Regions from separate parts of the Mus musculus genome. Here all the other regions are reported to be linked to region 1. The links are microRNA targets in miRTarBase. Many come from high-throughput screens and were not tested one by one. Region 1 holds a microRNA gene; each other region holds the end of a gene's coding sequence.
Evidence for each region. Region 1 holds the annotated microRNA mmu-miR-673-3p (UCCGGGGCUGAGUUCUGUGCACC, at 2,940-2,962, opposite strand). A microRNA usually pairs through its seed, bases 2 to 8, with sites in the 3' UTR of a target mRNA and lowers its output. Matches are read on the target gene's strand: a 7mer-m8 pairs with bases 2 to 8, a 7mer-A1 pairs with bases 2 to 7 and ends in A, and an 8mer does both.

Region 2: the mRNA of Inpp5e is a reported target of mmu-miR-673-3p. Seed matches in the 3' UTR shown: 7mer-m8 at 2,114-2,120.
Region 3: miRTarBase lists Tox4 as a target of mmu-miR-673-3p. Seed matches in the 3' UTR shown: 7mer-m8 at 2,761-2,767.

The regions. Positions count from the first base shown.
Region 1 is chr12:109,570,645-109,575,005 of GRCm38, reverse strand. Mir673 (microRNA 673) reads right to left here and starts at 3,016; the gene lies at 2,926-3,016. Meg3 (maternally expressed 3) reads right to left here. Exons shown (of 10, transcript NR_027652.1): 10 at 3,277-3,615. It also overlaps a transcript of Rtl1 not described here.
Region 2 is chr2:26,394,492-26,398,491 of GRCm38, forward strand. It overlaps Inpp5e (inositol polyphosphate-5-phosphatase E), which reads right to left. Exons shown (of 10, transcript NM_033134.3): 10 at 1,758-3,480. The coding sequence ends at 3,348. Pmpca (peptidase (mitochondrial processing) alpha) reads left to right here. Exons shown (of 13, transcript NM_173180.3): 12 at 534-678; 13 at 928-2,630. The coding sequence ends at 1,097. Among named protein-coding and RNA genes, the nearest start is that of Pmpca, 7.1 kb to the left of the region's middle.
Region 3 is chr14:52,292,594-52,296,593 of GRCm38, forward strand. It overlaps Tox4 (TOX high mobility group box family member 4), which reads left to right. Exons shown (of 10, transcript NM_023434.3): 9 at 1-90; 10 at 608-2,916. The coding sequence ends at 668. Mettl3 (methyltransferase like 3) reads right to left here. Exons shown (of 11, transcript NM_019721.2): 9 at 3,923-3,988; 10 at 3,481-3,593; 11 at 2,248-2,500. The coding sequence ends at 2,389. Among named protein-coding and RNA genes, the nearest start is that of Mettl3, 11 kb to the right of the region's middle.

The DNA of each region.
Region 1 (4,361 bases):
AAATGCAGAATTGTAGAACACTATAAAGAGGTCTTCTGGGTATCTAAGTTTCAGAACCTTGAACCGGGATTCTAGCTCAAAAATGTTAAGGAGGACCCTCTTTCTAGACTTCTGTGCTTCTGGCATCTGTGCTTCATCAGCAAATGAAAAGTACAGTCTTTGTTCTAGAACATCGTAAAGGGTCCTCTTTCTGGATAATTGGGCATCAAAGATTAGAGGTGGAGCTTAGCTTCTGAACAGAGTGGAGGTCCCCTTTCTAGATATCTGGACATCAGAGAGTGGGGATGGAGTCCAGGTTCTAGTACATTGTGAAAGTTCTTTATGGATGTCTGAACGTCATCAAAGGCTATAGATGGATAGAGTTCTGGGTCTATAACATCATTGAGAATGCTCTTTTCTGGACATCTGTGCTTCATCAAAGGCTGGAGGTAGATTCTTAGGTCTGGAACATCAGAGAGGTCCCTCTTTCAGGACATCTGAGCTTCATCAAAGGCTAGATAGAGGGTCCTAGATCTGGAACATCAGAGAGGGCCATCTTTCTGGACATCTGAGCTTCATCAAAGGCTAGAGAGAGGGTCCTAGATCTGGAACATCAGAGAGGGCCATCTTTCTGGACATCTGAGCTTCATCAAAGGCTAGAGAGAGGGTCCTAGATCTGGAACATCAGAGAGGGCCATCTTTCTGGACATCTGTGCTTCATCAAAGGCTGGAGGTAGATTCTTAGAACTGGAACATCATAGAGGACTCTCTTTCTAGACATCTGAGCTTCATCAATGGCTGGAGGGAGGGTCCTAGATCTGGAACATCAGAGAGGTCCCTCTTTCTGGACATCTGAGCTTCACCAATGGCTGGAGGGAGGGTCCTAGTGCTGGAACATCAGAAAGGTCCCTCTTTCTGGACATCTGAGTTTCATCAAAGGCTGGAGGTAGAGTCTTAGGTCTGGAGCATCAGAGGAGTCCCTCTTTCTGGGCTGGAGGTAGATTCTTAGGTCTGAAACGTTAAAGAGGTCCCACTTTCTGGACATCTGAGCTTCAAAAGCTGGAGGGAGGGTCCTAGTTCTGGAATTCTGAGCTTTATCAAAGACTAAAGGTATAGTTCTCACACTAGTTCTCCCTCAAGAGCATCCATATTTGTGAACATCTGAACATCACTCAAGAATGGAGCCAGAGTCTTAGCTCTAGAGCGACAAAAGAGCCAGTCTTCCTGGATATCTACAGTTCATCAGAGAGAGATTGAGTCTTGATTCTAGAAAATCAAAGAGGTTCCTCTTTTTACACATACAAACTTCACTGGAGACAAACAAGCTAGAGTCCTAGATCAAAATTATCAAGGCGGTCTCTTTTTCTGAGCTTCTTCAAGAACCATCGTTGAGTTATAGTTTTATATTGTCCATTTCTCTGGGACATTTGGGCTTTGTGAGAGACTGGAGGTGGATTCCTGGCGCTAGAAAACTGAACAGTTTCCAGATGTTTATGCTTTGGTGGTGACTGGTCTAGACTATGAAAGACTTCCTTTAGACATAGGAGTTCTCTTAGAGGCTACAGCTGGAGCTTGGCACTAGAATATCAAAGAACTACCTCTTTCTGGTCTTCTGGGCTTGACTGAACACATGAGCGAGAGTTAGAGTCCCAGGTCTAGAACATCACAAAAGAAAGCCCCTCCTTCTTGGTCCCTGAGGTCCATCAGAGGCTGAAGCTGGGCTCTGTGCTCTGACAAATCAAAAGGGCTTACCCTGGATGTCCAGAGTCTGTCAGAGACTGGAGTTGATGTGCTGGCCCAAGGACATGAGCAGACTCCTGAAGCTGGGTATCCTCATCAGAGGCTGGGTTGGGACTCAGGGCTGGACTATAAACACAGAACTCCACTTAGAGACACTGACAAAATGTGAGGCTTGTTTGAAAGCTGGAGATGAGTTATTTTCTTGGGAATATCAAAAAGGTCTTTTTTTTTTTCCTGGACATTTGGGCTCCATCAGAAGCTGAAGTGGAGGCCTTTTCGGTAACGCAGCATTAGGGCACTCACTCTGGAAGCCTGAGTTTCAAAGAGTTCTTCTGGGCTCTTGGACTCTCTCGGCTGGGCTCAGCATCTGGAGGCATGTCTTCTCACGGTTGTCTGCACTGCGACTCAATCACACATGCCAAAGTCCCCATCATGGCTGGTACTGGCTCTTCCAGGCTGGGTCATGCCCAAGTCTTGAAGATGGTGCTCTTGGCAGGGGGTGTTCAGAAGAGCATGCAGCTGCACTTGCCAGGTGCTTCTCGGTGCGAATGAGGAAGTGGGAAAAGGAGGAAAGACAGAAGGGGGGAGAAAGAGAAGGATAGAGGAGGAAAAAAGGAGAGGAGAGAGAAGAAAGGGGAAGATGAAGAATCAAAAGAAAAAGCAAAGACGTGTAGGGAAGAGGCAGAGGAAGAAGAAAAGTCAGAAGAGGAAGGAGAGGAAGAAAAAGGATGAAAAGAGGGAAGAGGAGAGAAGGGGAGGGGTGACGGTGGCGGTGGCAGTGGCAATGCAGCAGTGATCTTAGTAGATGCTGGTCACTGTGTGGCAACTGTGGTCTTGGTAGACATGTGGCAGCTGTAGTGATTATGACTGTCATCTTCCTCTTTGCTGGGGTAATGTTCGTGTTACCATCTGCTCTACCAAAACTCAGCTCCATTTCCCATCCCCTTGCTCCCAATTCCCTCCTCTCAGCTGCTCAGGCAGCCTGACTGTCCCCCCAAGGCCTCTCAAAAGCCATGAGGGTAGGGCTCACCTCCCCAAGCTCAACCAGCATACCTGATGCCAGGCATCATGAATGTCTGAGCACTCACTCAGACCCATTCAGGAACCACTTTTGTAGAAGCTGTGTTGGCCCCAAGTCCCAATGGGACCACCCATCTGGGTCAAGATGACGCCTCAGCTAGGGCCCTGGCATAGCCCCGGGGAGTGTGGAGGGCAAGGGGGGTGCACAGAACTCAGCCCCGGAGCAACATTTTCTCTGGAGCTCCAAGGACCAGAGCTGTGAGCCCCTCAGGCTCCAAAGCCAGACCTCCCACAGCTCTTGCATGGCTTCATTTCCAGAAGGAAACTGGCATCCCGAGCACACGAGGAAAGGGTTCTCCTAAACCCACCGAGCACAGGCCCTTCATCGGGCCCCAGTGTATCCATCTCTTAAGCACACACAGGGCAGCACAAAGGTGACTTTCTGGGGTTTGAGGCAACTCCTCTACCCCACTACACTACAAAAGGAAGCCCCAGCAAGACACCCACCCTCCCTCGTATTAGTAGCACACCCATCACTGCTTTAGTTAAAACAAGAAATTTATTGAAAGCACCATGAGCCACTAGGCCCCATGCTTCTAAGCACATTGCGGCTGCCTCACAACAGCCCTGTGAGGTAGGAACCTGAGCCCATTTCACAGATGTAGACTCAACAGTGAAGACACAACAGCCTTTCTCCCACCCCCCCAAGTCTCAGGGTCCATGGGTAGGGATCAAGGCCACATGCCTGACCCCAGGGTCAGCGCAGTTCATCAGTCAGTAGGTGGGTCTCTCTACTCAAGGGGAGGCCAGGGTCCAGAGTCTTGGGTCCAGCATGTCCCACAGGAAATGTGCAAGGCGTCCCCGTGGCTGTAGAGGCTGAGAGAGACACAGCTGCAGATGAAGCCATCTGCTCCCCATCCCCATGGCAGATAAAGAGTTTTCATGCACTAGGCAGGGTAGGAACTGGAGGGGGCAACCCAGCCCTGTGCTCAGAAAGCCTGAGCTATGTAGAAGGCCCAACTTCTGGACAGCCATGGGGGTGGGGCAACACCTACACACCAGCTCCTGACTTTTCCAATAAATAAAAACCTATTCTAGGATTTTCCATCTTTCTCATACCACCCCCAAGACTTCTAGCCAATTCACAGTCTATTAAACCTTGGTGGTTTTCCAAAGACTTTGGCCTTGCCCTCCTAGAGGGGTGTTCTTAATAGTCTTCCTGGTCTTGTATCTCAGAGCCTCCCATCAAAACTGCTGAATCCTAACATTTGAAAGCAAGGCTTTCTATGTCGCTCCAGAGCTGGGTAGGTGCTACCCTCCTGCCCTCCACTCTGTCCGAGTCTCACATGGACCTGAAGTTTCAGAAACTAAGGTACATCTGTACCCAGGGCCCACCTCCACAACAGTCAGTATGGGTTAGCAGACATGAGCACCTGCATACCAAGCAACAAAACACTCGTTTTCACACACACACAAAAAAAACCTCACTGAATCCCCCAATCAAACCAGGTTGGTTTGACTATTTCTAGGATATGGCAAACAGCCAAGGCCACCACACGTTCCACAAGGGACAAGGATGACCAGAACTCAGACCTTGATTCTCATGAGCCACCATATGATGG
Region 2 (4,000 bases), not on the chromosome of region 1:
ATAGCCAAGCTGGCCTCAAGCTTACAGTCCTCTTGCCCTGCCTCCTCCTGAGAGCTTGCGTACAGGCGAGCGCCCACACACCCAGCTTGCTCTGTCCCTTGTGGTCCTGATTCTTTGGTGCTACATTTGAGGTTCACACCTGGCCAGAGGCTCAATGTTGATTCTGCTGCCTCCTTGGTAGCACCAGGTGATAGTAGCCTGGGTCCTCTGTTTAGGACACTGACCACCAGAATCTTTGCTTCATCAACAACTTCGGGTTGCCCGTGCAGCCAGGCGTGGCTTCCTGATGCATGTTGCTCTCCTGTGATCCAGACAAGCAGCAGAGATTGGACATGTGTTTCTGTCCCGGTGTGATGAAGGCTTTTCCAATGTAGTTCCTCCCATGCTCGGAGTGTGCCAGACTGGAAACCAGACTGGGACAGCCCCTCCACTCTACTCATCTTTGGGCACATGGAGATTTCTTTGCTGAGACATGTTTGGGTCAGCCCCTCTTGAGCCAGCTGTCGAGGTGACTTGCGGTGTTTGGTCCTCAGGTGGAGCTAGAGCGGGCCAAGACACAGCTCATGTCCATGCTCATGATGAACCTGGAGTCCAGGCCTGTGATTTTTGAGGATGTGGGGAGGCAGGTGTTGGCTACACATTCAAGAAAGCTGCCCCACGAGCTATGTACACTCATTCGTGAGTATGCCCTAAAGCTTGGCTTGGGATCATTTGAGACTGCCCTGATGCAAACAGACAGACGGATCTCCTGTTGTCTGCCATACCACAATCCCCGGCTTCCCCAAAGTCCTTTGCAAGCTCCATCCTGTACTAATAGGCTCCTCAGCCTTGGGAAGGAGGCATCTGGTCACTGTTTGAGTGCACACAGTTTGAGATGGAGTTGGAAACTCCACTCTTGCCCTCACTGTCTTTTACTCTCTGTTGTAGGCAACGTGAAGCCAGAAGATATCAAGAGGGTTGCTTCCAAGATGCTCCGTGGCAAGCCTGCTGTGGCTGCCCTGGGTGATTTGACTGACCTACCCACCTATGAGCACATCCAGGCAGCGCTGTCCAGCAGAAATGGACACCTGCCCAGATCATACCGGCTGTTCCGGTAGAGTCCCTTAGAGCTGGCTGTAGAGTGCTTGTGTGCATGTTACTGTTGGTGTAGACACTGCATAAGGCTAGCTAGCTGTGTGAACAGTGCCAACAGTGAAACTCTGGAAACTTGAATGAAAGTTACTGTTGCCACTGCACTTTTGTGTCTTTCAAACACAAGTGGCTTATTTTTCATCTAACAAGTATTTTTCCTGAGTATCTGCCAAAGCAGGTGCTGTCTGGCCACTAGATGTTTCTGGAGCAAGGAAGGCTGGGAAAGATTAGAAAGTCTTGGGACTCTAGGGAGACAAAGCGCCACACTCTGAAAGCACACAGGGCCTACCCATTGGTAGAACCACTGGCATAAATTGTACTCATTTTTTTCCCCTTCAAATAGGATCTCACAGTAAAACCCTGAGTGGCTTGAGACTTGATATAAGATATACTCATCTCAAACTCAGAGACCCTCCTGCCTCTGCCTCCCAGGTGCTAAAATTATAGGCAAGTGCTACCACACCTGGCCTCATTTCTAAAGCTTAAGTTCTTTAACAAGCCTAAAGGTATTTCACAATCTTCTCCTTTGTTTTTTGAGATAAAATACTAATTAGCCCTGGCTGGCCTCACAGTGAGCTTGTCTTTGCCTCAGTTACTGGTCTTTCTAGTAAGAGTCACCATGCCAGTTGTATCTCACAATTATTTACAAGTCCAGTTTTAATTTCCCACTTCATCTGCACTAGTTTACGTGTTTAACTTTTCCAACTGAAATGCCCTCTAAATGTAAAGGCTATCTAAATGTAAATTGCTATGGCTGTACTTTGCCCCCCGACCCCTAAGACTTTATGATCTTGATCTTGGGCCAAACTGGGAAGTTCCAGGATTACCTCAGTCTTTTCTAAGGTGCCAGAGAATGTCCACAAAGAAGCACCAAACTGCTGGGCTGTGGTAGTGCACGCCTTTAATCCCAGCATTCAGGAGGCAGAAGCAGGTGGTTCTCCAAGTTCGAGGCCAGCCTGGTCTACAGAGAGTTCCAGGACAGCCGGGGCTACAGAGAAACCTGTCTGGAACTCTTACCACATCAAACCTTATTCAAGCCAGGAATAGTTGAGGCAGGATTATGAAGTCCAGGGCAGCCTGTCTGGGAGAGAAAAGGCTGTCTTCCCAGTAGAATTTGCAGTTCACAGTGGTTTATTGAAGCAGGTGACTTTCCATATTGGAGAAGCTGATGCTGTTGAGTTTCACCTTATTCGTTGGTTTATTATGGTTCACTGGAGTCCCAAGTCGTCACTTTTTCCAGCTATTGCTGCTTCTGGCTGTGAGCAGGGACAGTACCTAGCAGAAAGACCTGGGATGGGACTGAGTAGCAGGTGACAGCTGAGACCAAATGTTTGGCCTTTGACTTCTATGTCCTTTTAAAACCCTGGGGTGTCCTGAGGCCCCAAGATGCATGCAGACTTCTTCCAAGGTTCACTCTTTGGCCAGAAAGAGTTTACAATTGAATATATCCTTATTTATTTAAAAATATAAATATGGAAAAATAAATGATTTAGAAGACTAGAGTGGATGCCCCTAGGTGTCTGTACATTCAAGGCTATGTCTGAAGGGGTGGGGTAAGATTGAGAGCAATGATGCTCCTAAGCTTTCTTCAAGGAGTGAAACCCAGCAAGGTGCTGTCTGGTAACAATTTCTCATGCCTTTCCGGGACTAGCAGCACAAAAGCAAATGGTCTGAAGCTCCTAAAAACTATGAGTTTAATATAGCTAGGCTTGGCCTGTAGAGTGGAGAGGTCCCTACTCAACTGGGGGTTGGGAGCCTGGGACCAGGATGTAGAACCTCAAAGCCTGTCAAAATGTCTGTAGGGAATATCCCAGAATTGAAGTCCTGGCAGGTTCTAGGCATTGAGCATCTAGGATACCAGAGGTTGCCTGATCCTTCCCTGGAGGGAAGGAGCTACTAGGAGGATACAGATGGAGAACCTGGGCTCTAGCATGAGAACAGGAATAAATAAAAGGAGTTTGAAGAGACAGCAGTGCTCAAGGGCAAGAAGTCTGGACTACTCCTGAGGACAAAACTGCTGCTTGGTGTCCACATGCCCTGCCATGTGCCTGTGGGAACATGGTATAAATGTCCTGAGGGCTGGGTCTGTGGTGAGAGCAGGGAGCCCCTGGCCGTGGTGGATTAGAATCCCAGCATTACAGGAGCAGCTGAGAAGAAGCCCATCCTTTGCAGTGACCTTGGCCCCCGTTGCTGTGGCCAGTCCTGGTCTGGAATCTTCAGGACACGGTGCAAACTGCACTGGAGCTCTGGCTCTTCAGTGCTTCCTGTCTCTGAATCTCCTTTGAAATCCGCCTTTTAATTCCTATCAAGTACAATTCTCGGTCAAACTTGCCGGCAGCTAATGGGATGCTGTGAAAAAAAGACCTTTAATAAGAGCTGGCTTTGCCAGGCGTGGTGGCGTTTAATCCCAGCACTCGGGAGGCAGAGGCAGGCGATTTTTGAGTTCGAGGCCAGCCTGGTCTACAGAGTGAGTTCCAGGACAGCCAGGGCTACACAGAGAAACCCTGTCTTGAAAAACCAAAAAAAAAAAAAAAAAAAAAAAAAAAAGAGCTGGCCTCAACTTCACTCAGCTGCACACCTGCTGAGCCCCATAGGAAATGGGCCACTGCCCAGAGGTTAGGGTTCTTCGTCCCATCTAGGTTGCTCTAGCCCCAACCACAACCCTGTTGTGCCAAAAGAAGGTGATGCTGATGCCTCCAGGAGCTTGCTCAACCCTAGAGAAGCAGGTCACAGAACAAGCCGTTTCTTCATGCAACCACAAAGATTAGTAACCTGGGAGTTATGCCCTAAGAAGCAGCTGGGACTGAGGCTCAGATGGACGCAGATTCATAATAGCCTAGGGGCTGCGTGGAACATTAGGCCTCGCCTA
Region 3 (4,000 bases), not on the chromosome of region 1:
TGTGAGGTCTGGTTGTGAGAACCCTCCTGTTGTCAGTAAGGACTGGGACAACGAGTACTGCAGCAATGAGTGTGTGGTGAAGCACTGCAGGTGAGTTTAACAGTCCTTATAAATCAAGAGGTAGTGAAGTGAAACTGTTGGGGAGCATGGTACCCGTACCCGTGTGGACTGAGCATGACCTTATTAGGCAGAGCCACTTGACATGTGTGGGTGGGTAGGTATCTGATTAGAGATGCTCCTAGATGTTCAATTGCTTAGAGATGAGGATGTAGCTCAACTGACAACTGCTTGCCTGGCATGGGTAAGGTCCTGATTTCAATTACCAGTGTCAAAGAATTTGGTGAGGGATAGGTAAGGGGGAAAGTAGCAGAGTAAATGCTAAGTGTAGAGAAGGTGAGTAGTAAGTGAAAACTTTGCCCTTCTACCAAAATATCCCAGGGAATTACCTATATCCGTGAAAGGGCATATGTGTCCTCTACGAGGTGGATTGGCACAGTCTACCACATCTGACTTTTAGGCTACTTGATGATGTTATACTTTGGAGATGTAGGGAAATATTTGGGTATGGTTTTGCTATAATAAGTTTGTATGTATCTTTCTCTCTTAGGGATGTATTCTTGGCCTGGGTGGCCTCTAGAAATCCAAACTCTGTGGTGTTTGTGAAGTAGCCTTCGTCTTCTCCAAGCCTTGAAGATTCATCTGCTGAACACGAGTCCAAAAGCCTGTTTTTTTGTTTTGTTTTGTTGGTTTTCCAGACAGGGTTTCTCTATGTAGCCCTGGCTGTCCTGGAACTCATTTTGTAGACCAGGCTGGCCTCGAACTCAGAAATCCACCTGCTCTGCCTCCCAAGTGCTGGGATTAAAGGCGTGCGCCACCACCGCCCGGCCAAAAGCCTGTTTTTTAAACACAAACTGGGCTTCTGTAGTGCCTGACCTTTACCCATAGTCCTTCATGCCTCCATCTCCCTTTTCTTTCTTCAGCAGAGGCCAGACTATGTAGCAGGGCCAGCAAATTCACTGTAATTTAGAATTGCTTTTTACTCTCAACTGTAAGCAAAATTACCAGCTTACTAGCAAGCACAGGGAAGAGTGATGGGAGCAAATCATAGGGGTCATTAGAAGAAACATACCAGTAAAACGGTCAGACAACTTGCCTAGAATGTCATTGGGCGAGTGCTTTGCTTTGTTCTCGGCAGAAAAAGCTCTGGGAGAAGAGAGACTTAGGGTTTCAGCTCAGTGGTAAAGTGCACTGGGTTTAAATCCCAAGTGAAGGAGGAATGAAAATACTGATTTAAAATAAAATGTGTGATAGCCCTTTAAAAGGGAACTATTATTGATATACACAGTGCTATTAGGAGGAAGGTTTGAAGGCCTGGGGTTATGGCTTAGCACTATAAAGCTCTGAGTTCAGACCCCAGGCTGGAAGATCAGGAGTTCAAGGTCATCCTTGGCCCACTAGTGAGTTTGAGAACAGTCTAAGATGCATGAGGTAAAGGTTTTACAGAACATGGTGGCCCGTGCCTTTAATCCTAATACTTTGGAAGTAGACAGGAAGATTTTTGATCTGAACTTAAATCAGACTTTGTCTCAAAAAATAGACCGGGTGTGGTGGCACTCCCCTTTAATCCTACAACTTAGGAGGCAAGAGGCAGGTTGGATCTCTGAGCTTGAAGTTAGCCAGGATTACCTAGTGAGATCCTATCTTAAGGTCCCCCTCCCTGCTCCTGACAAAAACACACAAATTCTGTTTGTCTCAGTCTTAGCACATTGGGCTAGAGGGGAAACGACATCATCCAAAACGATCTTTTTCTGTACAAGTATTTCTTTACCTGACTTGGTTACCAGTTTTGCATGTAAGAAGCAGAACTCTATACCCCTAATAAGAGGTTTTACAAAGTAAAGAATCTGTGTTTGATGAAACATCTTTTAAATGTGCATTCATTTACATAATGCATAGGCCAATTTTTTATATTCTAAGCTCTAATTTTAATTGAAGGTACCTTGTTTTTCTTAGAAATTAGCTACAGACTAATAAACCAGCAAACGTACATAGAATAAGCAAAAGTTTAGAGTACCATATGCATGGTAAAATTCAAATTAATCCTGTTTATAGCATATTAATTGCTAAGCACTGTGAACCTGTGTAGTCTTTTCTAACACGCTAGGTAGCTAACATTCTTCTTTTACTTATAATGAATCACGCTAAATAAGAGTAGCACAAGGACACACACTAAGTGGAAAGCCATAATTTCACTTCAGAAATTCCAATTATAATACAAACTTTTATTTATTTATATACAGGGTAGGGGACACTATTGCGTAAACAGTCCTCTTAAGGTGTGGCCTGTAGCCCATGGCTCTGAACGCTTAGCTTTGTAAGGAAGTGCGTCTATAAATTCTTAGGTTTAGAGATGATGCCGTCCGGATACCTTTGCTTAAACCTGGCAACCACATCTGGGTCTAGTAGGTGTATCCCATCCAGTTGGTTTCCAAGAGTAATCCTAAAACAAGGGGGAAAGAAGAGGCAAACCAAAAATCCTGTAAGGGCTTAATACTTAAAATGTTCTACTTTCTGGTGATACCTATCTCAGGCTGTCCTGGAACTAACTCTCCATGTAGACCAGGCTAACCTTGAACTCAGAGATCTACTTGCCTCTGCCTCCCAAGTGCTGAGGCTAAAGGTGTGCTCTACTATGCCCAGTCCACGTCAATTTTTTTGGTTTGGTTTGGTTTGGTTTTTGAGACAGGGTTTCTTTGTATAGCCCCGGCTGACCTGGAACTCACTTTGTAGACCAGGCTGGCTTCAGAAATCCACCTGCCTATGCCTCCTGAGTGCTGGGATTAAAGGCATGCGCCACCACGCCCGGCCTACATCAACTTTTAAAAAGATCAGAGCAAATAATATGGCAGTGTCAATACAAAAACTGATTGGATTTTAATTTCTTTGGTGGTCCTAAGAGTTGAACCTAGGCACCTTACATATACACTCTTAAACTCTTAACACTACCAGCCCCCCTCCCCTTTTGAGACCTCTAAATAAGCATTGGCAGGCCTTAAGCTTGCAATCCTCCTGCTTCAGTCTCATGCCCCAAGATCCAGCCGGATCTGTCTATCTAAGGATTAGTAATTGATGGTAGCCAGGCCTACTTCATTCAGTCACTGCTAGTGAATAGTCCTTGGATAATTAAAATGCTCACCATTGGCATCAAACATTAAAACTGACAGATTGAATAAATACTTAGTAGCCACTAGGGGGCAGATTTAATATAGCCCACAGAATAGCTGACGATCCTTGGGCAGTTAGAGCTTTAAGAACAGCCCTTTGGGTTCTAATGAATGTTGTAGATTCTGGTAAAGCTTAAGCCATCTAGACTACCAGAATGTATACAACTCAGTGACATCTGTCTTTGTCCATAAAGGGTTTTTTGGGGGAGGGACGGGCAGGAGGTAGGGAGGCAAGAGCCTGTTCTCTTAATGTTACCAGTTGGGCTGCACATTGTGTGGTCGTCCAAATAACTCAATCTTGCGGGTGCCAGGGGACAGTCTCTCAATCATGCCATATATTTCATCTGGTTTATGACTGGTGGAACGAACCTAGAAAATAAAAACTCAAGCTACTTTAAGTTATTCAAGATTGCTTAATAGATAGAGAAATGGCTCACAGTTATGAGCACTGGTTGTTTTTCCAGAGGACCTGGCTTCAATTCCCAAGACCTACAGCTCATGACACCCTCAAAAAGACATACATGCAGGCAAAATACTGATACACATGAAATAAAAATAAATTTTTAAAAAGTTACTCAAGATTGCAATTCTAGTCTGGTCTGTGTTACCCAAATGAGGAAAAAAAAAAAAAAAAAATGGAGACTGACAGGAGTATTGAGTGAAAGTCTGAAAGCTTTAGATGCACAGGGGACACATACCTCAGCTACAATCACATCGCAGTCCAGGCCCTGGTTGAATCCTTGAGGATTTCCCTTAACACCAACCTGCTCATCACA